Rhinolophus ferrumequinum: one gene and its partners. The protein of the gene in region 2 interacts with the protein of the main gene of each other region in a pairwise test. Links are inferred from orthologs where the notes say so. Each region holds a gene or a part of one and is shown on either strand. Other genes may lie near its edges.

Region 1 (7,358 bases), on a different chromosome or scaffold from region 2:
CACCTGGATATTTGTGGTTGTGCAGGATGGGCAAAGATTCTTCACTGCGTCAGGGTGTCCCTTGCTTCCCAAGAAATACCGTGTCTCTGTCCAAGATCTAGAAGATAAGCCATTTTCAACGGAGGCAAGTTCCACCACTTCGGGGGCATCTTAGAAGTGTGGGGGTAACTTTTGTTTGTCACAATGATTGTGAGGTGCAGCTGGCGTATTGTGGGGAGAGCCAGGACCATTTAGAAAGGTTTGGATTCCTGTGGGAGAAAAAAAAAAAAAAAACTGGAGATGGGAGACAACAAGGACAGATGAGCAAAAAAAAATTTTACATAAGATTTGTGTTGATATGCAATATAGCAGGAATGTCCCTTTCCCCATTACCAGCCAACAGCCTGATAACTAATACCAACATCCCTTGTCTTGTGAGGCAACTTTTGCAGGATATGCTAAGGAAGGGTAATGCCAGGTCCCCAGTCGTGCACCTCAAGAGTAGAAGAAGGTGACATGAAGAGTCCAAGAGTAGGGGCTGTTTGGGAGCGTTATCACAAGACTAGACATGGGCTTCAAGTATCCTCTCACAATTAGCTCCACTTGTTTACCGGAATCTTGGATAGAATATATTCCCAAATTCCACACTGCAGCCCCAAATCTTTGACCACAGCCTGTACATATTCATAGTATTGTTTTGAGTCTTTTGAGCAAATAATCTCAGAGGCCTTGAAAGACAGATTGCATTCCTTTCAGTTAGATATGTTGCAATTCGGGGAATATGTACAAATTAAGTGGGAGGTAGAAACGTAAATGAAACCCAGAGTAATGGTTTGTGATAAGTTTTGAACCACAGTTTGTGTGCCTGTATTAATACCACAGCAGCTCACCTACCTACCATACCCTGCAAAAACTCAATCCCCTCTATTAAAAGACCCACTGGCTGATCCCCATACCTGCAGAGACCACCATCTAGTGGCAAATCAAGAAAGCTGCAAGATTTTAAATCTTTTTTAAGGTCTGATTTAGTAAGAGAACAACAGCCTTTTATCATTCGTTGTGACTTCCTTTGTACATGGAGCTAACGTTCATTTAGGCCAGGGTTCAACAACTTCTTTAATGGCTGGGGGTGGGGGTGGGGAATCAAAAGAAGAATGTTTTGTGACACTTGAAAATTATATGAAATTCAAATTCCAGTGACCATAAATAAAATCTTATTAGAAAACAGTCACACTCACTTGTTTACATATTTTCTATGGCTTTCTTCACACTACAACAGCAGAGTTGAATATTTGCAACAAAGATCATATGGCCCACAAAGATAAAAATATTTTCTACATGGCCCTTTACAGAAAACATTTGCCAACCCCTGCTTCATTATAATAGCTTCATGCCTCACAATGTTAAATATGCCAGGAGGAGCTCACTGCTTCCACATGCATTCACTGGCTGATTCACCCATTCATTTCAAAATCACTTCCAGCCAAGATCTAAGAAAAAGTTCTTATGCATATCTAGCACTCACATTCCAGGATGACAGTAGTGTGTTCCCTATTTAATAGTCCATTATATCTGTATAATTACATCATTGACAAAACTTCACACTCTCTCTGGTCTCTGTGTTCTTACTAAAATAGCATGCTTATTTCCGGCTTTCTAACTTTGGCTCCAAGAAATTCTTAGCTGCCAATTGCTTTCCTCCCAAAATTCCTAAATTCACTCATTCCCCATGAATTTATCAGCACATGTATCAGGCACTATGCTCAGTGAGTGTCCTGATACAAGATGAATAAAATATAGGCCCTGTCTTCAAGACATTGACCATTTAGAGAGGATGAGGGAAGAGCATATGAAGATGCTGAAAGAGACAGAGGAGTCAAAAGGGAAAGTGTATCCAGGGAAGGCTTCAGAGACGTGGCCAGAGAAGATAAGTAGGGAGGAGGAGAAGCAGAACTGGAGGAGATCATTTCAGGCCCAAGGACCACAGCAGCATGAGCAGAGATGTGAAGGTAAAGAACCAGCATGACATGTGCAGACAACTACAATCTGTTGTGTATGGAGGGAACTATAGAAACCCAGGTAGTATACTGATGTTTATCGTTCTGGGACCAAACTATTGCCTTTTATGTCCTAGTATTTCATATACATTTCAATGCTATTCTAACAGCAACAATAACCGTTCGAATGCTTGAAATTGTCCTTTACTTACAATACTGCGTATGCTTTCACAACACCCTTTGAGGTGGGTATTATCAAGGCCTCCTAGTTGAAAAGTAGCAGCATCTCCTAAGTATAAATCTCAGAGAAACTCTCACATACATGCACAAGAAGACGACACAAGAATGTTAGAGCAATACCGTCCATAAAAGCAAAAATGGGGAACAAGCTCAGTGTCTATCGATAGGAGAGCAGACAGCTCATAGTATATTCATACAGTGGTATGTTATAGAACCATAAAACTGAACGAGTTAAAACCTCACATTTCAGCATACATTAATATAAAAAAAAATGGTGACAAAAGCAAATTGCAAAGGAATAAACAGTATATACCTGGGGTGCCAAAAAATGTATACAAGTGGACACTTTGGTCAATGTTGCTCAAGCAGTAGTTCACCATAATCAGAAGTGTCTGGACGCTGATGGTGACCACTTTGAGCACCTCTTGTAATTGCAGGAGTCAAACGTGACTTGTATTCATCTTTTGTTATCCATATATATTATTACAATTTTAATAGTTTTTTCCTTCCTTAAAATGTGTATACATTTTTTTGGAATCCTATGTATAATAACATTCATGTAAAGTTTTAAATTATGCAAAGCGATACTTCATTTTACCTAGGGATACATACGTAAGTAGTAAAAGTATAAAGAAATGCATGGGAATGAGAAATACTGAATTCAGGATCGTATTTACTTCTGAGGGAAGGAGTTCATTAGGAAGTAGGGAGAGGGCACTCCAGGAAGAGGGAGCAGCATATACAATAAGTTGAGTTATGCAATAGCTTGGTATTTACAGGAATCAGTAAAGGTTTAGCATTGCTGGATCATAAAGTGAAAGCAGGGTGGGGACGTGAGAGCAATAGGTAGGAAATGAGATCAGGGAGGGACACAGAAGTCCAGTGGTACTCACGTTTGACTTCTCCCATCAGACAATGCGGAGCCAGTAACAACTTCTAGATAGAACCCTTTGGCAGTAATTTGAATAGTAGTTTGGAGTGGTGAAGTCAGAGGAAGGATATCAGTTAGGTAGATATTGTCATGGTTCTCACAAAAGATGAGGAGAACCTAAAATTAGGCAATGGCGCTGTGACAGACAAGGATACCCAAGAGTAACTTACACAGTGTACCAGGAGGCATGCCCATCAGTAGGGTAGAATATTATACAGTAATGAAATGAATAGATAAGTTTTATATTCCACAGCTTGGAGGAACCTCAAAATGTTGAGTGAAACAAGTCCCATTGTACTGCATAACGATATAAACCTTAAGAAATTCAAAGACAATCTAAACTTTTTTTTAGCTTCACCTATATGTGATAAAGATATATATGTAAGGAAATGATGACTACAAACCAGGGTAGTGATGTTTTTGGGAGGTGGGGAATAAGATGATGAGATTCGCGTTTGTGTATTTATGTGTGTGTGTGTGTGTGTATATATCCATATATGGATATATTAACAGAGGTGTCATTTATGGACCATTGATGACAGCATATCATAACCAAGGATTTTGCTTAATCTACTCTGTACTAAAGGCCTTAGCAAAGGAAAGCAAAATAAAGCAGGAGATGATGTATTTTTCAGATGCTCTGGCGGTAAAATCCAGATTCCAGCCTTTTGTTTGTTTTTCTTAGTTGGTTTTAGATTCACTCTCAGAAAGGTGAGAGGCCCCAGGTAAGACCATTGTCTTACCCTCCGATGGTTCGGCGTACGGGCTTCTAGGAACGAGGGGCAAAGGCCGGGGTGCCGCGGGGCCCCGGAGCAGGATGGCGCAGGGGGCGGAGCAAACAGGAAGGCGGGGCTAAAGGGGCTCGCCGCCATGGCGTCGGCGCCGTCCAGTCAGCCGCGGGTGGTGGCGGCGACTTCCCCTCCGGAGCCCGGGTCTCCGCCTCCTCCTTCCACCTCGCCTGCTCGGCGGCGGAGGCGGCGTTGGCGGCAGCGGGTGTCCCTGCCTCTCCGCCACCTCCACCTCGGCCTTACCCCAGGCCGGCGGCGTTGGCGGGGAGGGGGACAGTAGTTGTAGACGCCCGCCCCTGCCTCAAAGAAGGTGAGTTCCCGCCCCGGCGGCGGGGGCGGCCCGGGCTTCAGCCCTTCAACTCGGCGGCCCAGTAAACCCCTGCGCGCCAAGCCCGCTGGGCCCGTCCCGAGTACGAAATGGCCGACAGCGTCGGGGCCGGAGGCCCCTCACCACCCGCCGCCCGCGGAGAGGGGCGCCAGGGCCCCCAAGTGGAGCGTGGAGGGCAAAGGGGCGCCTCCGCCTTCAGGAGGCCGAGGTGTGAGTGGGAAAGAGGTGGCCAGGTAGAAAAGGCTGTGGTTCTCGAGTGTCTGCGAAAAGGAAGGGGCATTGATGAGGAAACCCCAAGACTGAGGGGACAGAGATGGGATGAAAGGCCCGAGACGTGGAAGGAAGCAAACCTCCGTTGGGTGACATTCGACCTCCTGGCAGGTACATAGGACAATTAGACGTGGGGTTAGGAATCTGGGTAGAGTAGGAAGTAGCGTGGGAGCTTCAAGTTGGGCAGGCCCCGGGGGAAGGAAAGAGGGCTTTGAGGGATCACTTTGGAGAGTTTTCCTTGGCTTTTTGAAGATCACACCCTGTAAAACAAGCTTCTGAGATTTACAGGCCTATCTGGATAGTCTGCGTTTTACTATGTTAGGTACCAGTGTCAAAGATCACAAAGCCGGGCCTTAGAGCGGTGACAGCAGACTTTATTTGGTTTACCCAGCGGTGACTGGGCGTTTTACAGGGAAAATGAAGGAATCGGAGAGAAGTGGGGTTCAAGTAGATTCAAGGGAGTGAAACATTGCAAAGGGTGAGTCAGTGTGAATGCAGTTAGCTCTGTCTGCTTGGTGGCATTAAGGAAAGGAGGGTTCTGCCCTCCCACCGTGACTGGGAGGCCCGCCTGCCTCCCTGATGATTGCATTTCAAAGGAATGACTTTCAGGTCCTTGGGAGAGAGGCCACCGAGTTGTAGGAGATCCACATCTTCAAGGGTGGGAGGAAGGATTCACAGCCGAAAGCTCTTTAGTAAGTACTCTTAACAGAGAGAGATCAGGAACCTCCCCTACCATCCGGTGTTGGCTGGGACAAACCGTACATCTCTCTTTGACAGCCCCGAGCTTTTCCTGTAAGACCCTCAGGGGCTGCGTCCTCCCAGGTATTCTGCCGTAGGCTTCGGGAGGCCACGGTGAAAATTTGTTCAAGTCTCTGTGTGCAGGGGTTTGGAAGGAGTGGTCCTGCCAAAAGTTTTTAAAGTTCTCACCAACACATTTCCCCTAACACCAAAAACTATTTCCTGATCGTCTCAATCTAAGAGAGATTTAAGACTATAGCGGCGAACAGCCTATGAGATAAGGCTGTATGTAAGGCAGTTTGGGAAATGATTTTAGCTGAAGCGTAAATCCACTGCAGAGTGCTTCAGTAAAACACTTAGCCCTCTTTAATTTAATAATTAACTTTTAGCATTTGCTGTATTGCCTTACGTTGCTTTTCTTGTCTCCGGAGTGAAAGATGGTGAAACACGCCAAAGCCTTGTCGAATAATTTAATTACTTTCTCCTGGAGGGACACCTATAAATATAAAAACCTCATAAAAATAATTTCATTTTTACCTTCTTGCATAATACTATTTTTGCGTGCTATTCCATAATCTTTTAAACTTTTCACTTTGGAGGAAAAGCAAAGTAGTAAAATGTAAATTTCTTAAAACATTATTGTGTACACTTTATATAAATTTCATTCACTAAAAATGGAAATTAGAAATTCATTGCAACCAAGTGATATTCCATTAAGTATCTTAGGACAATTTGGAAGACTAGATTTAGTTTCTTCAATCAGCCTGGGTTAGTGTCATTGTTGATATAAAAAACAAGATCTCCTAGATTTTTGTTCATACCAAACATCCTGCCTCTCACCAACAAGTAAGCCTGAGCAGTTTATAAGTGTCAAGTCTACAGTACAATTTGGTTCCCATAGCCAGATCATAGGAAGATTTGGCAATAGTTTCTCATGAAAAAACAGCTTTTTGCCTGACTTGGCATTTTCTGTTTGTTTTTTGTGATGCCTGAATATGTGCAGAATTACTGAAGACTTGATGTCAGTTCACACAGGGCTACCAATAACCTTCCTATACCACTTCTGGGTAGTATAATAATACTGGAACAGGAGTCTTGTAATAGGTTCTAGTTCTAGTTTCTCCACTAGCTGTATGACCTTGAGTAAATCCCAAGCTTTTCTTTCAACCTTTCAAAGTCCAAAACTTCTTTGAGTTTTGTCATCTGTGGAAAGGGGGATTGGATTAGCCCAGTTGAGTGGTTTTCAACCAAGGATAAATTTGCCCCACCCCCTCACCCTCACCCCCACCCCGAGTACATTTGGCAATGTCTGGAGACATTTTTGGTTTTCACCACTGGGCAAGGAAGGAAGGGCAAGGTGGGAGTAGGTGCTACTGGCATCTGTTTGGTATAGGCCAGAGATGCTACAAACATCCTAAAATGCACAGGGCAGTCCCCGCCAGACACACACACACAAAACAAAGGATTCTCCTACCAAAATGTCAGTAGTGTTGAGGTTAAACTCTGAGGTCCTTGACAGCTTTAAAATTGTGAACTCGTTTACAGTTCCATGTTGATAATCATTCCACAGCTTCGCTGTGTACTAGAATGGCAATTCATAAAACATGAAACTTTGACCTATAATGGCCATCAGATGACATTCAGAAAGCAATGAAATCTCTGTTGAGTTAGGATTGAGATTATTCAGTAGGATTTGAAAAACAAAATATAATTTAGTACCTAAAAAGTTACCTCATCACTTTATTTCAGGTAAATATCCTTCATCAACTGTTCAGTTAACTGCTACTTAACAAATGGTAAATATTTGATATACTATTTAAAACACTTGTAAGACTCTATTTATTTAGTTTAGATATTTATAAGAGCCTTAAATAATGGCCAATTAAGAATACATAAATAAGAAGAAAAAAAAAATGTTGCTTGTTACTTCTCTTATTTTTCTTAAAAAATAAAAATCTCTTTAGGAGATTCCTCCAAAAGGTATCAAAGAATTGTTGTGCTTCCAGTTATTAAAATTCCACTCTCACTTTCAAAATCCTGATGGGACCATTAAGACTGATTTGAAAACCATCTGTTTGTTCATCTTC
Region 2 (7,755 bases):
GGGATAGATATGTGGATATTCAGCCAATGAATGTAAAAGTTATATTTGTGTTTCAGAGGGTTTTATAATATATTTAACAATATTAAATTATGTTTATTCATGTGTCTTTTCTGGAGACATATTTTAAAGGGAAATGATTTTCCCAATTCAACTATTCTATAGATAAGATTTTAAAGAAACTAATCTTGACTTTGAAATCAAATTCTCTAAAGCTATGTCAAAATAAAATATTTTAGAACTATACATAGAAAGCATCCCCATGAATTCTAACAGCTGGGATAAATGCATTAGGATACACAGTGTTATTTATAAAAAATTATTTTAAAAAGAAGTTCACCACATTACTACTAGCAATAGCTTAAAATCCAAAATATTTTGCAATGCTTTAAAATCCTCTAAAGAACCCTGTTTCATAATCAATAAATCTTCCTTAGCATTTGCTAATTTAACCAGTATAAGCCATTTCAGCAAATTCTAAAAAGGGATGAAATCATAACAAGGATTATCATAACAATGTTAGATCAGGTATACCGAATGAGCTACATTCTCTGAGTCCATTAACAAAATCTTTAGGAAATTAAGGGGTTAAAAAAATTTTTTGAAGTTCCATAAATAGGCAAAAAATTATATCTGAGCAAGAGAAGTGTGAGTACACTCAGGGGGCTGTGAGAGTAACGGTATAGACTGCCCAACACACAGCATAACCAACCAAAACGCTGAGCCCCACAAGGAAAGAAAAGAAAAATCGGTCCTTGCCTTGTACAAAATTATGTTCTCTCTACACTTGGAAGAGACAAAACAGAGAGAGGGCTATAAAATGTCAGGATTACCCAGTGCAGCTGGTCAGTACTACATTGCACAACTCTAGAGGGTGCTCTGCAATGTGAACGGCTCCCCCTGGAGTTGAGCAGTGCACAACCCACACAACTCTATCAGGCAGCCTTGAGTGTAGTAATTAAAAGCACAAGCTTTGAAGCCCAACAAACCTGGGGTCAATTCCAATTCTAATTCCAGGCTGTATAACCTGGGGCAGGTTATTTATCGGCCCCAAGCCTCAATTTGCCCAAGGGAACACATTCTATATTCCTAGGACTTAGTTCAGTACCTGGCACACAGTGGTTCTCAATCAGTATGTGTGCTATAGATGTGAAAATGAGCTTTATAAGGTGGTAGTGAGGAGTAAATGGATTAACATGTACAAAGTTTGTATATACAGTCTAAAAACTAGCACACAATAAGCACTAAACAAATATCTATATAGGATGACAAACTGAAATACTGAGCTTCTTCAGGATGGAAAGATGCATGCTGGGAAGGAATTGTTTTGTTTGATAAAAAATAATCATAGGACGACCAGATAGCTCAGACTGGTTAGAGAGCTGTGCTCTTAACAACAAGGTTGCTGGTTGGATCCCTACATGGGCCACTGTGAGCAGCGCCCTCCACAACTAGATTGAAACAACTACTAGTCTTGGAGCTGTTGGGTCCTGGAAAAACACACTTAAAAAATAAAAGTTAAAAAAAAAATCATAAGCTATTGATAGAAGAAAACAGATTAAAAAATAATAAAATCTGGGTATGGTAGAACTTCGTTAGAGTGAGGATAATTCTTGAAGCTTGAGAGTACAGCTGAAACAAATAAAAAGTAGGAAATGCATATATTTTGTTATTTCAATTGTAGATCAAGTAAGGGCAAGAAATATTGATAACTTCAACGAATTCTAAGAAAATTGTCAGAGCCCTGAACCACGGAAGCAGAGAATTGTGGGTTCACTCCTGGCGTGGGGGGGGCGGTCGTGGGGGAAGCAGGGGACAGCTGAGGGGGACATGTGTTCCTTCCTCCCCGCTGTGCTTATTTCCTGGTGGAATTGTGGTTCTGACGCAGTCATGACAACTCTTCATCCTTATTAAGGTCGCACAACAGAGCAGGTCACCCTAGATTGAAAGCACAAACGCAGGACAGACTCCAGTCGCCTCCTTGGCCTGTGGTTCTGCTGCCCACCTCCTGGCAGGAAGTGGCGGTGCAGTCATTCCCTCCAGAGAGATGGCTGATAACAAAAGCCAGCAGAAGTACATTCCGAGAGGGAGGGAGGGATCGCTGAGCCCCCAAGTGAGGTCATGCCAGTCAGCAGTTAGAAAAGCAGGCATTTCTCACACTTGTTAATGAGCCTGACGCTCGTGAAACATAAACAGGAAGTGGGAGCTCTCCAAAGCGGCCTGAAGGAAATCCACTCCCAGTTTGGTCAACGTGTGAAGCCCAGTTCTCTGGATTGTCAAGGTCATTGCCAATTAAGACCGACATCCTCCCCGCTCCCCCCGGCGCACCCGAGGCGCATCTGGACCCAGCCCAGCAGTGACCCCCCCCCCTTTTGCAGTCTTTCCCACAGCCAGGTCACTCGGCGGCGGGGTGACTGACCCAGGCGGGGGAAAGGCTGACAGTCATCTCTCAAGTCCCGGGCGGGCGGCGGGGCAGGGCAGCGCAGAGGTCAGTGAAATCCCCGCCGGGCCTTATTTTAGTCATGAATTTCCACTGGCTCCCTCCTCCGACTGCATCAGCGGGACTCGCGCCGCTGCCTTGGCCTTTGAGCGGTTCTCCCTGCTCCAGGTCGAGTGAGAAGGTCACAGAGACCGGACTTTTCCGGGGGAGGTGACGAGGTGGGGGCCTCGGCGAGCGGCCTACGGAGGATGGCAGAGACCTGGGGCGCGTGGAGGGGGCGTTTGGACCCCGGGCTTCTCCACTCCTCCTCTACCCAGGCATCTCAGTTCGTATGAAATAAAATTATAAAACAAAACCACAACGCCGCAAGAAAAAACGGGGGGAGGGGAGAAATTATTTTCTCTACCAGCCAGTGGCCCCGATATAATTTTCCCAGGCTGCCTTCCCCTCGTTGCCCAATCTGTCCTCTTCGCAGCGGTTCCTGTAAATTCCCTGTAAATTCAGGGGCAGAATCTGTGTTTGATGCCCCCAGTTTCTGTACAACGGGTACAACGCCGGGCACAGAGTAGGGGGCTCGCTCAACGACGCGTGTAAATGCTACGATTCACGGTGACGGGCAGGCTTCTCGCCTCTCCCCCCTCCGGTTCTGCGCGCAGACCGCACACAGCGCCGCCAAGTTCCTGGCAGGCATAAGACTTGGCCGACCCGGCGGGCACACCGAGTCCTGGGGTTCGGTCTCCCAGCCGCGCACAGGGCCGTGCAGCCCGCGACGTTGCGGCCCGAGCCCTAGCCACGTGAAGCGTCCCGCTCCGGCCGCTGCAGGGCAGGCGTCACCGGCGCGGTTGTGTAACTCTGCAGCCGGAGGGGAGGCGGCCCGGGAGCCTTGCTCCCGAGGGGGCAGAGGAGGGAGGAAAGGAAGGGAGCCGCGCCGGGTGTCTTTTTGTGCTTGACTAGTGAAGTGGGTGGGGGGCACCCGGGGGGTGCGCACGTGGGTGCCCGCGGCCTGCAGGCTACGCCCGCCAGCGGAGCTCGTGGGAGCCAGGGACCGCGGCGCACACGCTCCGCGGTCAGGTGCGCGCAGCGTGCACGCCGGCGGCCTCGGCTGCCCCTGCGCTTGGCCACCAGCCGGCTTCCCATGGGGTGACATCCGCCCCGCCCCTCGGCCCCTCCCCACGGCGGGCAATTCCTGGACGCGGGGCAGCGGGGTGGGGGCAGGGAAGCTGAGACGGAAAGAAACCCCAGCCTCTGGGGAAGGCATGGGGCCGGGCGACTCCCTCTGCAGCGCGCGGGTTCCTGCGAGCGGCCAGGCGGGGGAGGAGGAAGAGGGCTGGGCTGGAGCGAGCGAGGGGATATTCCTCTCCCAGCTTGAGTCAGACGCGGGCGGATCCGTCCTCCCCCGTCCCCTCCCAGGAGACGGGAACTTACTTCATTTCCCTGGGGCAGGTTCGCCCACGTTACCACACACCTCCCCCCCGGCTCCCCTTCCAGCTTCCGCGCCCCTCACCCGGCTGGGCAGGACCCAGGCCGCGCCGCCACCCCCTCTTCGGGGAAAGGCAGCCGCACCGCAGACACCTGGGGGCCGGGACTGGGGGTGGGGGCCCCTCGCCGCCGCGGGAGCGCTGTCCAACACGTGAGACTCATGTGATGAAGCCGGGGGAGGGCGGGCAGGTCGCTCCTTCCCTCCCCGGCAGCGGCCAGACGTGCCTGGAGTCACAGGGTAGAACACGTAGCTCCAACCCACCCACTCGCTCCCATTTAACCCAGCCCGCAGCCTCTCCATTACTCCACGGCTCCCCGCCCTCACTGCCCCCCCGCGCTTCCCTCCCGCCTCCCCGCCCGCCCCACTTCTCATTCACTTGGCTCTCACGGCGCAGACGGCACAGGGAGCACACACCGCCAGGCTGTGCGCAGAGTCGGAGCCAGAGGCCGCGGGGACACCATGCACGCCCCCAACTGAAGCAGCAGCATTTCGTAGCCGCAGCTCCCGGCAGCCAGCGGATTTCAGGGAGCTCAGATTCAGAGGAAACCTTGCGGAGAGAGCTCCGAGGCCCCCTCCAGGACAGTCCTCACCCGACGATCTCCTGCAGACAGGAGCGCGTTGTGGCCCCGGTTCGCCGTGCCATGGAGCGGATCCCCAGCGCGCAGCCGCCCCCCGCCTGCCTGCCCAAGGCGCCAGGACTGGAACCTGGAGACCTACCAGGGTAAGTGGGCACCCCTGGCCCCTCAAGCCTCAACTCCAGCCCCGCGTTCTGCTCGGCGCTCTACTTGGAGCAGCTCTGGGCGCATCCGGGGGTTCCTGCCCGCCAGGCTCTGCAACCCGGGCTCACACAAACTCACGACCCTTCCTGGCCCCTCTCCCTGCAGGATGGATTTCGCCCACATGTACCAAGTGTACAAGTCGAGGCGAGGAATAAAGCGGAGCGAGGACAGCAAGGTAAGAGCCCCGCGCCCCTGGGGACCCCAGCCCCTAGCATGCGCTGAGTTTCCAAGAAAAGTTTTCTCACTCTGAGGCTGGAGGGGTATGCGTGGTGCGGGCTCGGCGCTTCTACCGAGTGGCTTGGAGAAAAGGGGGCAAGAGGCGGTTCTGGGTGTGACTCTGCTACGCTGCCCCGACTCTTCTCGCGCACCGGGGTGGGAAGGAGAGGGGCTTCTCACCCCCTTCCTTTGGTGCCCACTGCCTGCCCGTGCGCCTTGCAGGAGACATACAAACTGCCGCACCGGCTCATCGAGAAAAAGAGACGTGACCGGATTAACGAGTGCATCGCCCAGCTGAAGGATCTCCTACCCGAACATCTCAAACTTACAGTAAGTGAGAAGCTGGCGGCTCTCCAGGCTGGCTCCTCAGCCCAGAGGGCGGGCGGGGGTCACTCGCCGCCTGCAGGCCCAGCCGGGAACTGCAGGCCCCTCAGGGAACTGCCGAGTAGAGAGCTGGATCGGAGCCCGGGTGGCTCTATTTGGGGGTACCCTTCCCCAGCCCTGGGATTTTCTGGCAGCCTCACGCAGAGGAGGTGAGAACCGCTTGGACTTCTCCAAGTTGCCTCCAACACCAGCTGGCCTTCTTTTTCCAGAGTTTTAGATTTTCCCGTGTGGTGATTTTCAGGGTTCTCGAGTTTTCCTGACTTGAGCAAACCAAGCAACACACAGATCTTATTTACCCCTTTTTCTCCTTTTTTTTTTTTTTTTAAGTAATAGGACTTGTTTTGGTGTGTGATTTTTACATCCTGTCCTTTCTTGGGAGTAGCCTACAGCTTACTAACTTGGCAGACTTTGGTTGGGGAAAGGAAAAAAAAATAGTATTTGAGGAGGAAAAAAAAAGACTGGATGAGTTGGGAGTTATGAACGGGTGTCAGGAAAGAAACGAGGGAAAACCTCTTGGCTGTAAGACACAGTAGAAATCCCTCCTCGGCTGACACCACTGCAGAGAAATGTTCACTTGATTCCCGAGTTAAGGTCAGCAGCCACTGCTGGAGAAATTTATCTATCAAAGATTTTTTCCTGAGGTAGCCGCTGCTTCTAAAATGCCTCCAAAGATAGGTGGCACTCATTTTTTTATTCTTTAATCCGATATATATGTGTGTGTGTGTATATATATATACATATATATACATATATATATAATCTATAAATTTTAAATTACATTTAGCTAGCCAGGAAAGGCTAGTTCTTTTTTTTTTTTTTCCTTTAGAGACATTTCTCATTGCTAATAAGTGTCTGAGAGGTGGGACTTGTCTGAGCTCATTGCTGACGGAGGCTCTTTTGATTCCAGACTTTGGGTCACTTGGAGAAAGCAGTGGTTCTTGAACTCACCTTGAAGCATGTGAAAGCACTAACAAACCTAATTGATCAGCAGCAGCAGAAACTCTTGGCCCTGCAGAGCGGTTTACAAGCTGGTGAGTGCCTGCGTCTGGCTGTCATCTCCGGGGAGTTCTCGTCGCACAAACAGAGCCTGTGGGCTCAACATCTGCTATAAGAAACAGTGCTGCAAGGAATTGCTTGTGCATGTTTGTTTGGGGGAGATGCCATTTTATCGTTCCTAAAAGGTCAGACTTCTTATTTGGAATGCTGCTGTGTGCCACCTGGCATGAATACACATTAGTCAGATGATAAAATATTACTGTGACATTTTGGCTTAAGAGTTTCTGGGTTCTGGGAGATTTCCCCCCTCCCTTTTAAAATGCCAAGGCACCTATAATTTGCATCGTGGGTGTTTTAGTTGGTCCTCTTAGCCCTCTTTCAATGGAGAATAAATCAGAGGTATGCCCCAGTGTTTTCCTGTTTCTGTACTTCCTTATCTCTCGGTGTGTGGTATGATCCTGGCAGGATGACAGCAGGAGTTTTTCCTGCATTTCATGTGGTTCCCTGAATAGCCACTAGGCATCTTGGTGAATTGCACAATCTAACGAAACCACTGAAGTTTCATCATTCGTTTCTACTCTCTTCCAGAGAATCACACTCACCTTCTAACCTCCTCGTCTCCCTGCTTCCAGATAATACTGTACAGACTGGGGAAATTCTCCTGCCCACTCCCTCATTCCATTCTTCTCTGCCATCCTTGCCAAGCCTAGTGGGATGAGAATCACAAAAATCTAGCATGTGCCTCTGCCAGGTCCCCCACTGAAAATAGAAAGATGATCGTACCTAATGTCTTGGGGGTCCTGGATCGAATACATAGAAAAGGCTTAGAAAGTGATTAGCTCCATTTCAAGATGACTGCATGACTGCAAAGGGTAGAAGTCATTGAAAATCAGTTTACTTAAGGTGACATCGTTCGCTCATTCTTTCTCATTTTATGACTATCTCTGTCCATCTTGCTATGATGAGATTGATGTTCTATAAATTGACTCTTTGGTTTGTAAACAAACTAGGATGTTCGCTGCTGTGTCACTTATAGTGAAAATTCAGGAACAACTTGCAAATTCAACAACAGGAAAAAAAGTCAATATTAATTATGGTCTATTTCTATGCTGGGCTACTATGCAGACATTACAGTCATTTTATCTCTGGGTGGTAGGATTCTGGAAGATTTTTATTTTATTCCTTGTACTTTTCCGTGCGATCTACATTTTCCCTGGTCGTATTACTTTTGGAGTCAGGCACACAAATGAGCAAATATATTAACAATGAGGGGAGCCCCCAGTCTTGGGAGCACAGGTGTCCAGGTAAACCTCACGGCCTGCTGAAATGTCTTCCTGTGTGTCTGTTGATCCAGGTGAGCTGTCGGGGAGAAACATCGAAGCAGGTCAAGAGATGTTCTGCTCGGGTTTCCAGACGTGTGCCCGGGAGGTGCTGCAGTACCTGGCCAAGCATGAGAACACTCG
Region 3 (8,017 bases), on a different chromosome or scaffold from region 2:
GGAGCAAATCTGAGAGGGTTTAAGAAGAAAGGTTGGATGTCAGGGCTGAAGCAAAGAAAGCAAATGATGAAGTAATTTTCCTGAGCTGTTGGATGAGAAATAAGCACCATATGAAACTTCATTCCAGGAAATTATATTTCGGGGAAGACTCGGTGGCCCCCAATCAGAGTTCATGCATTCAGAAACCAGAACGATAAAGGCTCCGAAATAAGACAGCTGTGTCTTAATTATTCTCTTATGCAATTGGTGATCTGGATGGCAAAGCCTCCTGAAATACGTTTCTTTCTAAATAATAATAAAAGGATTCCAAAGGAGACGGCATTTATCATAGAGGCTTCCTGAGTCATCCACTTGATCAGCTTCCTCTGAGACTACAGATGAACTTTCTAATCATCAAAATTAAACAGAGATACAATGATAGCTTTCTGGATTAACAGCAGATAGGAAATACAGTGGCCCTGTATAGATGAATGGTGTACAGATTGTATCTGTAAGTGGTTTGTGGTGATTCAAGTGAACTATTTCACACCCTCACTCAGCCAATGGTCTGGACTGCTAACGAAAAACAATGACATGAGCTTCTGTACAAACTGTGATGACAGCAATGGCTGGGAGAGATGACCTGAAGGTATGGCTCTCTTATCCTGACCGGAAGCCTTTAGAAAGGCTGGGAGCTGCGGCCAGAAAACCTGATTCTCACGAAATCAGGCAAAAATAAATGTCTGCTGGTACTATTCTTCAGGCATTTAGAGAAACACCAGAAACATACACACAGGCACCCCCTACACACACACACACACACACACACACACTGCATTCTGACGTGTGTCACAGTGTCAGTGTATCCACTGTGCCACTCAGAGCATCACATCCCCTTCAAGAGGGGGTTGCCTTCCACAGCATAAAATCCACCTCCGTCTCTGCATATGGCACCATGATGCTGATTTAGTCACTTCTAAGGACTTGTTATGGCTGCCACCATTCCCTTGGATCTCCCCTTTTCAGAGCAGGACCGTTTTTCCCTTCTGGAAGAGCCAGCCAGGCAGATGCTGAGAACTCCTGCATTTATCCTATATACTTGTCCTTTCCGTGGCAAGAATAACCTCCCACTCAAAGTCACTGAATTCTTTCCTAAGTTGTACCTAAATGGGCAAACCAATGTTATGATCTAGAAGGAAGAAACATTATTTAAAAATAATAATGAATAAAGAAACTGTGAGAACACTACAGACCTACAGCTCTCCTTGTTAGGTGATGCTATTCCAATTGATTAATAAATAACATGAAAGAAATGAATATAGGATGTCAAAGATCAACTCATAGTAATACTTAGATTAAATTCAATTGAGGCTTTGCAGCTATAGAAATGCTCAGTAGGATACTCTTCTGGTGGGTAACTACACACACACACACACACACACACACACAGACACACACACACGGCGCTCACAGCAAAGGGCACAGAAATGGAAAAGCAGATGAATCCTCTAATATCTTACCAATAGGTTTTTGGGAAATGTTTCCTGGCACAATTTACTTAATGAGAAATGGACCAAAATAATATTTAAAAGAATAAAGCAATTTGTTTCCAAAATATTCAAACAACACACCAAAAAAAAAAAAAAGGCTGTTCTCAACAAGACTTGCAACAGAAAATACAGCTAAAAACATTTTCTGGAGGCAACCAACTTGAACCCCAATTCCCTAAATGTTCTAAACAGAGTCTCGGCATTTTATGAATACATGTCTTCCTACCACACATGGTACTGACATGGAGATTCTTTGGAGAAGGAGGTCCCCTCTGCACACTTGTAAAGGAAGTTTAGTGGACCACAAGCACACATAGTTAACTCTTGAAGGCACTCCATCAGAAAACAGATAAAAGGACTATAATCACTGCTAACTCCTCATCCAGAAGGACAGGAATCCCAGGACTGGAGGATTCTCATCTGCATGACAAAATCCTTCTAACGCTGCCAGCCACATCCACAGCCCCTGTCCAGTGAGGAAAAGCCACATGTCACCTACCCCCAAGGCAATCCTGAGCTGTTCCCCAAACCCAGGAATCAACTGAGGTGGCAGCTTTCCTAGTATAAATCAGGAAAAGAAGACAGGGAAGGTCCAAGGGAAACACCCAGGGATAGAGAGACGCACAATGAAAGATTCTGAAATGTACACAGAATGGAAAATAAACACAGAATCCCTCAGCAAGACCATTAAGGGAGATTGGAGGAGGGAAAGGAAAAAAAAAAAAGCCTTTACACATAGCAACAAAGACAGCACCCTAAACAGCTCTTCTTCACAGCATTGCCTAAGAATGTGGAGGCAGATTCTGGGGCTGACACGCTCCAGAAACCCAAAGGCTCCCATTCCAAAAGCAACTGAATATAGCACCAGCCAGACAAACTTAAGAAAACAAAAAGACTGAGCATACACACACATACGTATGTGGGTTTTTCTTTCTCTCTCTCTCTCTCTCTCTCTCTCTCTCTCTCTCTCTCTCTCTCTCTTTTTTCCCCCTCCCTATTAAAGCCGCTAAATTAAAACTCCAAGCACACGCCTGCCTCCACACAGCTCCAAACTCAGCATCAAAGGGTTTAGCTCCAGATCACCACGGGTCGGTCACTGGCGCGAGAAAGACCGGAGTCAGGAGCAGGCGGTTTGCAATTTTAAACTCCCAGTACCCAAGCTCGGCGGAAGCAGGCGTTCAAAGTAGTCACAGAGGTGCAAAAACAGCTGGGCGCGGGGTACCAGGGATCCTCGGAAGACTAGGGGCTGCGATGCACCCCTCCCATCCAAACCTACGAGTCCCCTCCCCGGTCCCCTCCAAGGTACCAAAGCGATGCAGGTCCACGGGAAAGCCGCGTGCCTTACCTGCTGTAAGTACATAAAAGTCAAGGCACACGAGAGCTGGGGACACATGCCCACGTTGGGGAGCGCCACGCAGGTGGCCCCCGTCAGAGGATGCTGCATTTTGTCTCTCTGGCGCCCGCCGAGCACGAGTGGGGACGCTCGCATGCAATCACGCCGTTCTTTGCCTGGTCGCTACAATTTTTTTTTTCCCTTTTTAATTTTGCTGATTATCTAAGTCAAACCCCGGTGGCTGTCTCTCTCTGCTCTTCTCTCTCTCTCTCTCTCTCTCTCACCCTCCCTCCCCACCCCACCCCCCCACAGCACCCCGTGTCCCTCCCTCCCTCCCTCACTCCCTCCCTCGCTTTCCTTCTTCCCTTTGGGTTTGCTAGATCCCAGCATTCATCTGCCTCCAACAACTAAGACACTTGAGAGGGGCAGGAAACTATTTTGTTTCTTTCATGGCTTTATTGGGGTGTGTGTGTGTGTGTCTGTGTGAGTGTGGTTGTTGGGCCTGCTTTGTGATGTCTCTTAAAGTGGCAGGTGCCCCCGCCCTCCAGACCCCCAGCCCCAGAAGATGACAGGAACAAGCAAAAGCAACTTCAGTGAAAGGTAGAGGGGGTGGATGCCCTTCTGTAGATGCTGAGTTGGGGGGTTGACAGAGCTAAGGGCCAGGTGGGGGGGAACGGAGAAGGGGGGGTAGAGAGAGAGGGAGAGAGAGAGAGAGATTTGACTCACACCGAGGCTCACTCCGTTGGTCCAGATGCTGCGTGCCTTCTCATTTGTCAAATGGGTCCAGGGCAGGGTTGGGTTTTTTTTTTTCCTTTTTCCCTCCCCTCTGCCTTTTTTTTTTTTTTTAAACGACTCACCAAAATTCAAATTGTGTTTGCTAAAAATCTCCGTGGGGCGGGCGAGGCAGCCAGCGAGCGAGCGCCCCACATCGCCAGTATCCAGACGAGCCGGACAATTCACGCGATCGCCCAGCTGGGACCCAGAGTCTTAGATTTCGGTGGCGATTTGTTTGCCCGACTCATCCGCAAATCAACCCACAAATGGGATTCCCCCTCGTAAAGTGCTGCGAGGACACTAGGGGCCGGGGGCGCGGGGAGCGGGGGCTGCTGGCGCACGAGGTAGGGTGGTTTCTGGGGCCCCCACCCCCTGGCAGGGCGGCCGCGGCAGCGATGCACCCCCAAGCATTTGGGGCGCAGCTTTTCCTGCGCGCCTCGCCGCAGCTGGGCGGGCAGCAGCCGGCACACCAACCAGCCCGGAGCCGCCGAGCGGGAGAAACCGCCCTGGATGGCGTGGAAATCAAGCCTGTTGGACTAACTAACGTGCCAGCCCGGGGTGAATGCAAGGGGGGCTTCTCGCAGCCTAGAATCCCACTCTTCTCAAATTATAAATGCACAGGGTGGTAAGTCCGCGTCTGATAAGAGACTACTCTGTGGGCTGCAGCGGGCAAATGACATGGTTTATTTATTTCATTTTTTTCTTGCCTGTCCAGCCCTCCTCGGCCAAATCAGCATGCTGCTCCTGCAGAGCGGTCCCCACTCCCCTTTATTTTATGAAGTAATAATTATTCATTAGTAGATTTCCTTAGTCTTTTGGCAATAAAATAGGATGTGATCTGCAAATCAAAAGAAAATATTAAGACTCTACCACGTCCTGGGTCCCCACAGGAAAAAAAAAAAAAAAAGCACGTCCCTGGCGGCCGTCAAGCCATGATCAGGGATAATGCCATATTTTGTGATATAGATTTTGACCCAGTGAACGGATTTTCGTTTGCTTTTTCAGAGCTAGAGGCTGTCTGAACAGCCTTTGATTGTTAGGTTCCTTGCGAGAAGTCTCCCTGCGGGCTTTCCAAAGGCCTGTAGGACAGAGATGCCCTAAAAGTGCGGGGACCCTCAGGAAAGAGCGTTTAGGGCAGGACTGGGGAATGGCCACAGGGCAGCCCAGCTGACCCCTTCCTGTGTCTTACTGGGACATTCAGCCAAATGACAGCTTCTGAACTGAGCCATCAGCTCGCAAGGCACTTTGCAGGCTAATCAAAATGCCTTCTGAAGGAAAGGAAATTCATGATTCCGCAGCTCCATTTTCTGTTTTTCTGTTTGCAAACGTCATCAACAACTATAAAGTCTTCACTCTGCCAAACACTAGGCCCCAAAAAGGCAGTTTCCTTCTACTTCCTCCCCTTGCAAACAGTCCCTCCAACACGATGGGACTCACGCATCCTGTCCATTTAGAAGGAGCACAGTAGCACATTTAAGCCCAAGCGAAAGTTGAGATGGGGGTTAGGGGAGTACAGGCTGGTATTTTATGCTGGTTCTTTTTTGGGGGGCTGGCAGTAGTTAGTTTGAAAAATCCTTGCTATATATGTTGTCTCAGACATCACATTCAGCAGACAAGGTCTGGTTTGCGGATAAAATGTTTCTCTTTTTTTCTTTCTTTCCTTTCTGTCTTTCATTATTTGCTTTTGTTTTTCATTTTTTGTTTTTCTCATTTTGCAATTCACAAAACCAAAGTGAAAGGCACTCCACAAAACACAGATGGAATAAACGGTCAATCCTTGCTCTCCCTTTCCCATTCTTTCCTTTTGCCTCCAACAACTCGTTGTACTGACTGGGGTTTGCCCTGCTTTCCTTTATTGTTTTTCTCACTGGCATTGGGAAAGCCTGCAAATGCCCCCAAAAGAGGACAGAATTTTCCTTTCATTCAGCTCATTTTCACGAGAAACACAATAAATAATACATGGCACTTTAATAAGACCTTATCTGAATGGCTTGATGAAAAACAAATACATTATGTAAGGAGCCAATAACTGTTCTCGACTGCCCTGAGCCAAACCTGGTTTTTCCAGTCCGTTTTCTCCCCAAACTTTTAAACCCTCAGTGGTGACTGGATTCCTACAGACCCATTTTGCAATAAGGGTTCAGACTTTCGCTTCAATGTAAGTGTTCACAGTCGGATGCCTTGGAAGTCTGCAAAGTGAGACAACGGAATCCAGACCTTGTAAATGAATCTCCAACCGGTTCCGGGCCAGCCTCCATTCTCTACAGAGCCAAGTCCGAACATCCCTGCCCAAGTGCATGCAAGCACGATTATGCAGAGACAAGTACACACCCCATGCACAGGGCAACTGCAAACAGTGGCTAATATCAGTGGGCCTTAATCATTGGATGACCCCAGACCAAGTGGTAACGCCATATCTGTGACTATTGTTTACTTGATGACAGGACTCTGCCAGCCTTTGCAGCATCTGGGGATGCTGAACTTGAATTCCACCTCAACAGAGACTGAGGAAGAGCCACATCAATGTTACCAGCTCCCAAACGATTCTCCTACATAGGTAAATGGGAGGAGTGGGGGTGGGGAAGTACCCTCCTCTCTCTACAAGAATCCCTGGGCACTCAGCCGCTTGAGTGTCTACATCACATGCACGTTCAAGGACCACCGTCCTGACTTTCAGCTACCAGGACCCTTCATTGCATGGTGCACATACCCTGCAGGGAGCAGAGACAGTGCCAGGGAGCCTGCAGTCAGCAATGCCACCTCCAAATGATACTTCCTTAGGCCACTGCCCCAGTTTTAATTTGATCCACACAACAGTACTTGTAATGTTTCCTTCACTCAAATTCGCCAGTTATTCAAATGAATAGAGGAAATCGTAGTTGTTTTTTTTTCTCTCCCTCTCTTAATTCCTTAGTATGACTTCCTAAGGCTGTCCAAAAGGCAGACATTTAGAGAAAGGAAGGTTTTCTCTGGGAGTTGCCAAGCCTCAGTGCAAGAGAAACTCCAGGGAGACGGGAGGAAAGGATTTCTTACTCCGGGACAGTGTCAAGGAGTCGCTTACAAATAAGCTGCTCTCACTTCCTCATTTTCATATAGGCAGCTACATAGTCTCAAGCTTCAGAAAAGGGAGACTAAAAGTATCAGGAGAAAACGTCATTATTTACTGTCTCTATCACAAGCTCTTTGAGTCACCTACTTGTTGGAACACTTAGACGATATGTGGTTGGCGCTGATTGCATTCCGGGCACTGCTGGGTCCCCAGGGCAGTATCAGTGCGGGGAGGCGAAGACGCCTGACACCACAGAGCTTACATTCTGAGAAGGGGCAGAAAACACAGATTAGAAGGAAACGGCACAGAATACCGAAAGCGATGAGTGCTGTGGAAAAAAGTAAAGGGAGGGACAGGATCACAGGATGGGCACACCTGCGATAAGGAGGTCTGGCAGGCTGCAGTAAACGCTGTAGAAAGAGTGTGCGCGCTCTGAAAAGGCAGCTTCCGCTTCCAGAGAAGCCTTCTGCACCCTCAGCCCTCCACCCTGACTGCGGAGCCCCAGATTTGCCAAATATCTGAATCCTGGGGCTCTCTTGGGTCACTGAGAGTGGTGGTAGCAAGTGTGGCACTTCTAATGACTAAAAACTGGAAAGATTCTCACCTGCACCTTTAATTACTCGAAGTACAGGATCCAACACACTGGCTGGCATTTAGCAGGCACCGAGAAAATACTCAATTGGGTGGACAGATGGATGGATGGACGGATGGATGGATGGATGGACAGATGGATGAATATAACAGAAAGTTAGACAAAATGAACTTGACCTCTTGTTGTCTCTTTCTGCTCAAAAAATAAATTAAAAAATCCAAGGATTCTGAGGTTTTTATGTTTTTAATTTGATTTTATTTTCTCTCTCCGTATGTTAAGCCGGCCCTTTGGCCTGTAAAGTGAGGTCTCAGCCTCTGATGGTCCCTGCGAGCTACCCTGCAGAAACTCCATTTGTCAGACAGTTTTCCTGGCAAAGCCTGGAGTTGGAGGGCCGAGAATTTCCCTGCTCTCAGAAAAGCCCAGCGTTCCTTTCAGAGCAAGGAGCTGTGGCTCAGGCAGAACCAATTCCATACCTTCGAGGGCAATGGCTTTGCCTATAATGGCAGGACTGACGCTGGAGACGAGAGGCTGCTTCTGTGTCAGGAACTCTCAAGCGTCCTGAGTGCAGGGTACCCATGAGACCCAGACTAGAAGAACAGACACTCAAGTACAAACCACGCCCCAGGTCACAACTAGCTCCCACCGCAAAAGCTCTTTTCAAAATTATATTGGTTGTTTTATAACAGTTCCCTGCAATCTTTTGTCCATGAGAGTGACATCAATTATTAAGTAAAATCAAC
Region 4 (8,077 bases), on a different chromosome or scaffold from region 2:
GCAGTGGGGCAGGGAGGTCGAGTGAAGAAAGAAGAGAAGGGAAGGAGAGGAGGCAGAAAGCGGAGGGCTCCACAGCTCAGCTCCAGGTCTCACTCACCTTGCCGGTAGTGGCACTGACCAACTTGGCCTGGCAATCCACGGAGCCAGTTAGGACCAGGCTGCCATCCTGGTTGGTGGCAACACAGGTCAGAGGGCCCTGGTGACCCTCAGTCCCTAGGATGGAGCAGGGGGGGATAAGTGACACTTCATCCTGCCCCAGATCTCAGCCCCTTCCTTACAAAGGCCCAGGGTAACACTCGCCCCCTTTGTTACCTTTTAGGACATGGATCGGGTTTCCCTGCTTCAGGTCCCAAATCCTGATGGTGCCGTCTTCATAGCCAACCACAGCTCTCTTCCCTAAAGGGCCAGAAGCACAGATGAAGAGAGGACAGACGGCACACTCAGACACACCCAGCGAGAGAATGGAGAGGGCAAGGAAGTGAGGGGACACTGCCCCCAAGGACCAGCCGAGGAGACCACTTCAGGGTGGGAAAGGGGGAACTGTCTGCTCGGGGACCTAGGACATCAGTGCTAAGAGCAGGCTCGGAGATTGCCAGCTGTGGCCCTGGAGGGAGCCTAAGAGACATGGCACGCCACGTCCAACCTCTGCACTCGGGAAAGCACTCAGGGATGCTCACGGGAGCTGCTCTCACCATCAGGGAGGACTCGGCCACAGGTGGCTGGGCAGCTGGGACCCTGGAAGGTCTTGCAGTCACCATTCGGGACCTTCCACATCCAGGTGTTGCCATCGGCGGTGCCCGCAAGTAGGACAGGTGCCCGAGGGTGCCACTCCATCCACTGGACAGAGAGGAAGAGTCAGCAGGGAGGCCCATCACCCCATCTCACCTAGGAACCTGCCTCATGAGCCCCACCAACCTTTCCTTGCTTTTGAATCAGTGGGGACATTCTAGGTGACAGGCACAGATATTGGTGCTGCACCTTGAGAGTGCACTGGCTCAGAGGTGGCTGGTCTGATAAAGATGGGACTAGACCCCCAAGCGCTCACCCTGGACCCAAGACCCCTCCAGAATTGAATCCCACTCTGATGATCTCACCTCCAGATCTCCTGCTTCAAAGGACCAGACCTCCTCCTTGGTGTCTACCTGCCACACTTTCAAGAGGCCACTCATGTCCCCTGTGGCCACTAGGGTAGAGTCATGGCTGAAACCAGCACAAGTCACAGAGTCCTTATGGCCTTCAAGGAAAAGTGGGCAGAAAAAGAACATCAGGGCCCCTAGTGAGGGGGACACATGACCCAGGTATTTGGCCCCTAAAGGACCAGCTGGGAACAAAAGGGCAGGCCCTAGCTGAACAGGTAAGCAAACTCACTGCCGCTGCAGGAACTCACACACCCAGGTCTTCCCAGAGGAGACCGTGCTGCCCCCAACACAACCACACGTAGCTGCGGCCTCTGTCTTCCCCTCCGCCCACTCCACACCTCTGCCTGGAATACCCACATCCTTCCCTCTTCCCAAACACGCCAACGCCAGCCTGTGTCGCCGCCTCAGGCCTTTCCCACACTCCCTTCCCAATTCGTGCCTCACTCCCCTATGTCCCTGACAGACGACGTTATTCTGTTTTGGGGTCCTCAGGCCCAGCCCAGAGCTGGCAACACGGGGATCGATACGTGGCTGTTGGATGCACACCCGCTGCAGGCCAGCCCCCTAGGACCCCCAAGGGGACACGACCTCACCTGGGCCCCTCACCTGCGCACTCAAAGAGCAGCTCCCCGTCGCTGAGCCTCCACACAAAGGCTTTGTCATCTTCACCCCCCGTCACTGCCAAGGTGTTGGTCTTGGGGTCGAGGCTCACACAAAACACAGATGCTGTCCCAAGAGATATTCCATGAGTAAGGGGCTCCCACCTAGGGTTCAGTCCTTTGGGACCTGCAGGAAGCCCACCCCCTTCCACCCAAAGCAACATGTCTTTCCTCAGGGAAAGAAGGGTGCATTCAAGTTCTTCTAAGTTTCAAGCATCAGGTCGTTGGAGAAGTCACTCCCCAAGCCTGCCAAGCTCCTCCGGGGCAGATCCCCCTACAGTGCTGCCCCCTTCACCAGCCCCCACTAACGCTGTGGACACGAGGAGGGTGCATGTGCAGCGCTAATGCTCTCAGCCTGGGATGCCACCCGGCTGGGTACAAACAGGGAGGGGAGCATCACGGTACTGGTGCTTATGAAGAGCTAACTTTTGAGGATTATAGCAAATACGCTCAAAAGGGTACTGTAACATCGCATTTACACCAAGGTAACGTTTTAAAAGAAAATTAAGTACAATTGTCACCCCAATCAACTTGAATTAAAAAAAGAAAACTAAGATCCAGAGAAGCTGATAAAAATCATAAATTGGTCAGTAGCAGTGATAGGATTTGAACCTACGTTTCTCAAGGGACTCGAGGGGCCAAGCTCGCCTCCATTCCATCATACTGCCCCCTACCTGCGAGCTCCTCCAGGGCCAGGCCAGCCTTTTCCCATCTCTGGGTCCCTCCTAACGCTCTGTACACAGCGGATGTGCGATGCTCCAATGCCCGCGGGGCCCGCGTTTACGAGGGCTCTCCTCACAGACCTACCTGAGTGCAAGGCAAAGGTGACCTCACTATCATCTGGGCCCTCCATGCTGCCGACCACCCCTTCCTGGGGTTCCAGAACCCAGCCCTCCTCGTTGCCCTCTTCCTCTTCTTCCTCTTCCTCGAAGTCGACATCTTCCATCTCTTGGGCTAGATCATCTGCTTTGGGGAGAGGGATAAAAGATGGGGCTCAGCGGGCGGTAAGAGGGATGGAGAGAAGTGTGGGGAGGCCTGGCGCTGGGGTGGGTCAAGTGGCAAGAGAGTAGGTGAGGTCACGTTGGATGAAGCGGGGGCATAGGAGGGGTCTGGGAACCTGAGGTTGGCCAGAGACTGTGTGGAAAAGGAGGACCGAGGGGATGATGGGAAGGGGGTGTGTGAGGGGAAGGGCCAAAGGAGGCGTCAGGGGAACCCCCACCCCGGCCAGGCCTGAGAACTAAGTGTGGGGGTGGGGGAGAGGGGCAGGGCGAAGGAGGTCGGTAGGAATAACCGGTGGGGTGTGCAGGGGAGGCGGGAGAAGCAGGGGTCAGAGGCCAGGGGTGAACGCCTCCTGTCCCATGGCCTGAGGACCAGCAATGCTCACCCGGGTCCGGCGGACCGGGATCCAGTTCTACCACCTCGATAATCTCTTCATCACCATGGAAGCTTAGGGTCTCCAGTGGGGGGGTGTCAGCAGCAGCCCCGCTTTCCGATTCGGACTCCATGCGGCGCAAGCGGCCGATCCACTTCTCTGGGCCCAAACGCCTCCCAGAGTCAGCTCTGCGCGACGACGCGGAACTCGAGCCCCTCCTCCCGGGAAGGAAGTAGGCGTAGGCGACTCCCCCAGCAAGAAGAGCGACGGCCGCTCGGCCAGTAGGGAAAAGGGTTGGCTAGGTTAACCACCAATCATAGGGCAGAGTTGGGAGACAGGGACGAGGCGTGGCGGGAAGAACCCAAACTCCGCCCGACCTGACTCCGCCCCTGACAGGAGGGAAACAAGCGAGCGTGCGCGCCTCCGGATCTCCTGGGAAGAGTAGTTCTCGCCGGTTCTCTCCGCGGGCTTCTGGAAGATGTAGTTTCTGGTCTGTAGGCGGGACGGAAGGAGCGGGGGTGGCCCCTTACGCAAACTACAATTCCCGACGGGGAGCGCGGTGAAGGGGGGTGGGATCTGAACATGGCGGCGGTGGTAGCTGCTACGGCGCTGAAGGGCCGGGGGGCGAGAAATGCCCGCGTCCTCCGGGGTAAGGAGAGGGGCCCCGGGGGAGGGCAGTACTTCAGGGCATACCTTTTTTTCACATCCCGCCCGGCGATAGCAGGAGGTTAGGGCTGTCGATTCCTGCTCGCACCTCCCTACAGGATGTTAAAGAATCTGGGGGCTAAAAGATGGTCTCTAGAGGTCACCCAGTCCATCCCTCTGCCTTCGGGTTTCACAGCATCTCTGGGGTCTTGCTGCGAGAGGGAGCCCCAAGGAAGCCTTTTAGACTCCCGCGCTCCAGGTGTTTTCACACTCACCGCAGTGCAGAGGCAAGAGCCCTCAGCTTTTGGAGGCTTGGGTTCCAGCCCCGGATAATTAGCAGTTTGACCTTGGGAGAAGCAGTTCGTCTTTCCGGGCTTCAGTTTCCTTTCTATAAAACGAGGGGACGGAGTAGACCACCTTTAAGCTCCCTTCCCGTGTTAACATTCTGCGTTTGAAAACATTTTCTCGGATTTCCTTAATACGTCTCATGTGAGTCCCACTGCAGTCCTTCCCATCCTGTCCTCCGAGCAGATAAAGAACAGCGAGGCTTGCTCTCCTGGCACCAGGGTTATGAGCCCACAATGACGTAGAAGTGGCTTCCAAAAGTGTCACCTCGATGGCGATTTTCCAAACGTTTCCCTTTGAAATCTCCCTGGCACTTGTTACACCGAACTGCAGTCACTTCCCTTCCACAGATCTCAACCACTCCTCCCCAGGCTTTCTTCTCATTGCCTTACTGACCTTCGTTATCTCCATCCACAGGGATTCTCTCTGGAGCCACAGCTAACAAAGCTCAGAACAGAACTCGGGCACTGCAAAGCCACAGCTCCCCGGAGTGCAAGGAAGAGCCTGAGCCCCTGTCTCCTGAACTGGAATACATTCCAAGAAAGAGGGGCAAGAATCCCATGAAAGCAGTGGGACTAGCCTGGTGAGTTTTAAAGTAACCCTTTGCCCACCGATGGAGAGTGGCGCCAGGGGAGGGCAGGACCCAGAAACTTGTCTAAGTTTCAGGTGGTGAACTGAATCCAAGGTTGTGGGGACAGAATTGCTGGGTGCAAGGACTGGATTCTCAGAGGAATGGGGCAGGGGAGGTGGGAAAGTGTGTGCAATTGGAGAGACAGTGGGGGTTTTCTGTGGAGTAAGCTGAGCTAACTGGATTTAAATTTGGGTCTCTGGCGTCATCCTCTCCTGGGAGCTTGGTGTGAGACCCAATGGAGGTCTCACCTAAAAGGTGTTCAGTATATCATCATTTGGATCCAACTGACTTTAATACATAGTACTGATCAATACTAAAGGTAAAGGAGGGGGAAATTAACCTTTTTCTTCAGCACCTTAGGTGTGCCAGGACTTTACAGTGTAATGTTTTAGTCTTTCTGATAAATATCACATCCCATTTCACAGATAAGAGAACTGAGGCTCAGAGCTGGGATTCTCACCAGGTCTTGTGACTCCATGCCCTTTTCCCCACACTAAGGTGCCTCCTAAGTAGCGGTTACTCAGAAGGGGAGTCTGGGAGAGAGATTGGGGCAGTTTAGGCAGAGGGAACTTTTGCCAAGACTTGGAGAGGGAGAGGATGGGCCGTCTGGAGACTCATGCACAGGCTGTGCAGCAGAATTGCAGGGCTCATGTTGAAAGGTGTCAGGCTACAGGTGAAAGGAATGAAGAAGTGGGCAGAGACCCAACCACATTGGGCCTTTTGTGCCATGCCTAGGAGTTTGGACTTGTCCGGGAAGTGATGGAGAGCTGTTACGGAGTTTTAAGCAGGGCAGCAGCAGGATCTGAATTTCATGGGGCCCTCCAGCCGCCAGCGCGAAGGCTGATAGACACAAGAGGTATTGCAGTGTTCATGAACTCAGTGAAGTTGGAATGAGCTTCCCCGCAGCTCTTCTGGCTCAGGCGTGGTCCCTCCCCAAACCCGGTGCACATCTCCCCACCCCTAGGGCCATCGGCTTCCCCTGTGGTATCCTTCTCTTCATCCTCACCAAGCGGGAAGTGGACAAGAACCGTTTGAAGCAGATGAAGGCTCGGCAGAACATGCGGGCATCCAACACGGGCGAGTATGAGAGCCAGAGGTTCAGGGCCTCCTCCCATCATGCCCGGTCTCCTGAAGCTGGGTCCGGGGTGCAGACCTGAGGAACGCTGCAGCCCTCCCCTAGACTGTATTGACTGGCCTCCAGACTGTCAAGTCCTCTGGGTTTGGCTGCAATTCTGGTCCTTGCCTCTGAGGTCCACCAGGGGGCGCATGAAGCCCAGGCTGCTGCCAGCCCTCATCCTTTCCCCTACCCTCCCCTCCAGCCTGAGAAACCAGCCAAAGGCAAATAAAGTTATTGAGTGTTTGAGTGGAAAGGCACCAGGACTGGGTTTGTCAGTCCCTTGGGACGGGAGGGGCAGAGGGCGGGGTTGGTTACTCCCGAGTGCTGCCTCTCACTGACGTATTCAGTGTACCTGGCTTGATGGTTGAGGAAACCACAGAGACTTAAGCAACAAGCCTAGGCTCAGACCCTGGGGACCAAGCCTCAGAGTTGCTGGCCAGGAGGGTGGGGTGTCTCTCAGCTTTGAACAAATAATAAAAAGAATCAAAGAGGGCATTGAGGGAGTGGAAGGAAAAAAACACTACTCATGGCTGAGTCCAAATGACTCCACCTCTCTGGGCCTCGGTTTACTTGTTTGTAAGAGGTTTTGGACTAGTGATTTCTAAGGCGAGGGGTTTTAATCATGCACCTGCAGTCCATCTCTCCCACTCCAACCGTGAGAGGGTGTGTACACATACAGCTTTGTGGGGAAGAGGTTTTGTAAAGTGTCCATGATGCAGAAAAGGTCACGTGCTGCTGCTGTGAGCAGTCCCTGCCAGACCCAGTAACGCAGGTTGAGCTTTCACCCGCCTGTTGCATCATCACCAGGAAGCACTGCGGCAAAGTGTATTTGGTTATCCTAGAAAAGGTGGAAGATGGCAAGCCAGAATGCAAAGGTAGGCAGTGGATGCTGTGCGGAGAGCCGAACTGATACTCCCAGAGCTGACACCTTAAAGGGAAGCAAACAGAGCCAAACAGGGTTTTAACTTCTAAACATAAAACTTTATTACATTTCTAGTTACATCCTTTTGTGTGATATACTCAGGACTGAGGACTTACTAGGGAATCCTAATTATACCCTTGGGCTGACTTGGTTTCCTCCCCACCCGATAGAGTGACCCCTCTCCCTCTTCCCCCTTCCAGCTTAAGGCACTTAGAGCCACAGGAAAGCAGTAGCTGGCTGGAGGAATGGGGTTCCAGTATAAAATTCACCAGTAAGTGTTAAGAACAAACTGAGAGAGGAAGTCTCCTTCCTCTCAGGGCCCTCCCCAAGGTTAGCAGAAGAACGCCGAAGCTTCCATGGGTGCCATAGTAGGCTTCCATCTCTCAGACCAGGCAGGGGACCCCGAGGCATTTTCCCTGCCTCTAGCCCAGTCTCTTCATCCTGGTTACTTCCTGGATGTAACCACCCCCTCTCCTGACCTGTGCCCCTCACTTTCTGCTTTGAGCAGCCTGAGCACAGGGAGCAAGAGATCCCTCTGACCAGAGATCCCAGAATTCCCCAGGAGGCCCTAGGCAGCTTTGGAGAATGGGGCCCAGATAGCCGTGGACCTGCTGTCTCTGCTGCCGCCGCCGCCAGGAGGAAGCCCAGGGGAGATGCAGCTCAGTATTGGCCCGTGCTGGACTTTGCTTGCTCTTCTTCCTCCCCCCTCACCCACATAAACAGTATATACATGCCATCAAAAGAAGAGGGGTTGAATCTAGGGGGACCCATGGGCACAGATCTCTTCAATCTTCCTGAGTCAGGAAGCGCCAAGGTTTGCCAAAGGAATACAGGGTAATGGCTTATGAGTCCCGGAGGCTGGGGACAGAGCTCTCCGGCTCTGGTGGAGGAAACGCCTCCAGCTCCCTAGCCCAGAGTCTACGGCAGAGGTGGGAGGGGAAACCTCATCACCTTGAGGTCATTTCTGCCTCCTTCCCTTTTAGCTGACCCCAGCTGACCCCAGCTGTTAAGAATTTGGAGCCACATAGTGGGTGGAGGTAGAAGGCACATCTTCGGCCTAGTACCTGCTAAGTCCACCATGGGCAAGAGTTAGTCCCCAGTTCCTCCAGCCTCACCAGGTGGCACTTGCACATCCAAAGCCAGAGGCCACCCACCCCAGGACAGAAAGGAAACTGAGGGGAAGGATAGGGGTCTGGGGCCCAGACCCCGATCACAGGGCCCAGCCCTCAGGGTGGAGCAGAACTGGG

Evidence for each region.
Region 1: the proteins of BHLHE40 (region 2) and SMYD1 interact in binary tests that used the Homo sapiens proteins (3 or more experiments, as listed by UniProt). The link is inferred for Rhinolophus ferrumequinum from reciprocal best matches to the Homo sapiens genes BHLHE40 and SMYD1.
Region 3: the proteins of BHLHE40 (region 2) and RBFOX1 interact in binary tests that used the Homo sapiens proteins (3 or more experiments, as listed by UniProt). The link is inferred for Rhinolophus ferrumequinum from reciprocal best matches to the Homo sapiens genes BHLHE40 and RBFOX1.
Region 4: the proteins of BHLHE40 (region 2) and AAMP interact in a two-hybrid assay, tested with the Homo sapiens proteins (2 studies listed by BioGRID and IntAct). The link is inferred for Rhinolophus ferrumequinum from reciprocal best matches to the Homo sapiens genes BHLHE40 and AAMP.

What each region holds. Positions count from the first base shown.
Region 1 is NC_046296.1:7,663,903-7,671,260, forward strand, and holds the start of SMYD1 (histone-lysine N-methyltransferase SMYD1), read right to left. Parts: upstream 3,244-7,358; 5' UTR 3,110-3,243; intron 249-3,109; 5' UTR 1-248. UniProt on the Homo sapiens protein: Methylates histone H3 at 'Lys-4' (H3K4me), seems able to perform both mono-, di-, and trimethylation. Acts as a transcriptional repressor. Essential for cardiomyocyte differentiation and cardiac morphogenesis.
Region 2 is NC_046300.1:4,920,141-4,927,895, forward strand, and holds the start of BHLHE40 (class E basic helix-loop-helix protein 40), read left to right. Parts: upstream 1-4,292; 5' UTR 4,293-4,558; coding exon 4,559-4,638; intron 4,639-4,801; coding exon 4,802-4,871; intron 4,872-5,134; coding exon 5,135-5,242; intron 5,243-6,203; coding exon 6,204-6,327; intron 6,328-7,646; coding exon 7,647-7,755. UniProt on the Homo sapiens protein: Transcriptional repressor involved in the regulation of the circadian rhythm by negatively regulating the activity of the clock genes and clock-controlled genes.
Region 3 is NW_022680357.1:7,882,541-7,890,557, reverse strand, and holds the start of RBFOX1 (RNA binding protein fox-1 homolog 1), read right to left. Parts: upstream 3,116-8,017; 5' UTR 3,019-3,115; coding exon 2,875-3,018; intron 1-2,874. UniProt on the Homo sapiens protein: RNA-binding protein that regulates alternative splicing events by binding to 5'-UGCAUGU-3' elements. Regulates alternative splicing of tissue-specific exons and of differentially spliced exons during erythropoiesis.
Region 4 is NC_046291.1:16,972,262-16,980,338, reverse strand, and holds the start of AAMP (angio-associated migratory cell protein), read right to left. Parts: upstream 3,398-8,077; 5' UTR 3,304-3,397; coding exon 3,183-3,303; intron 2,765-3,182; coding exon 2,606-2,764; intron 1,866-2,605; coding exon 1,746-1,865; intron 1,235-1,745; coding exon 1,095-1,234; intron 838-1,094; coding exon 693-837; intron 397-692; coding exon 313-396; intron 214-312; coding exon 98-213; intron 1-97. UniProt on the Homo sapiens protein: Plays a role in angiogenesis and cell migration. In smooth muscle cell migration, may act through the RhoA pathway.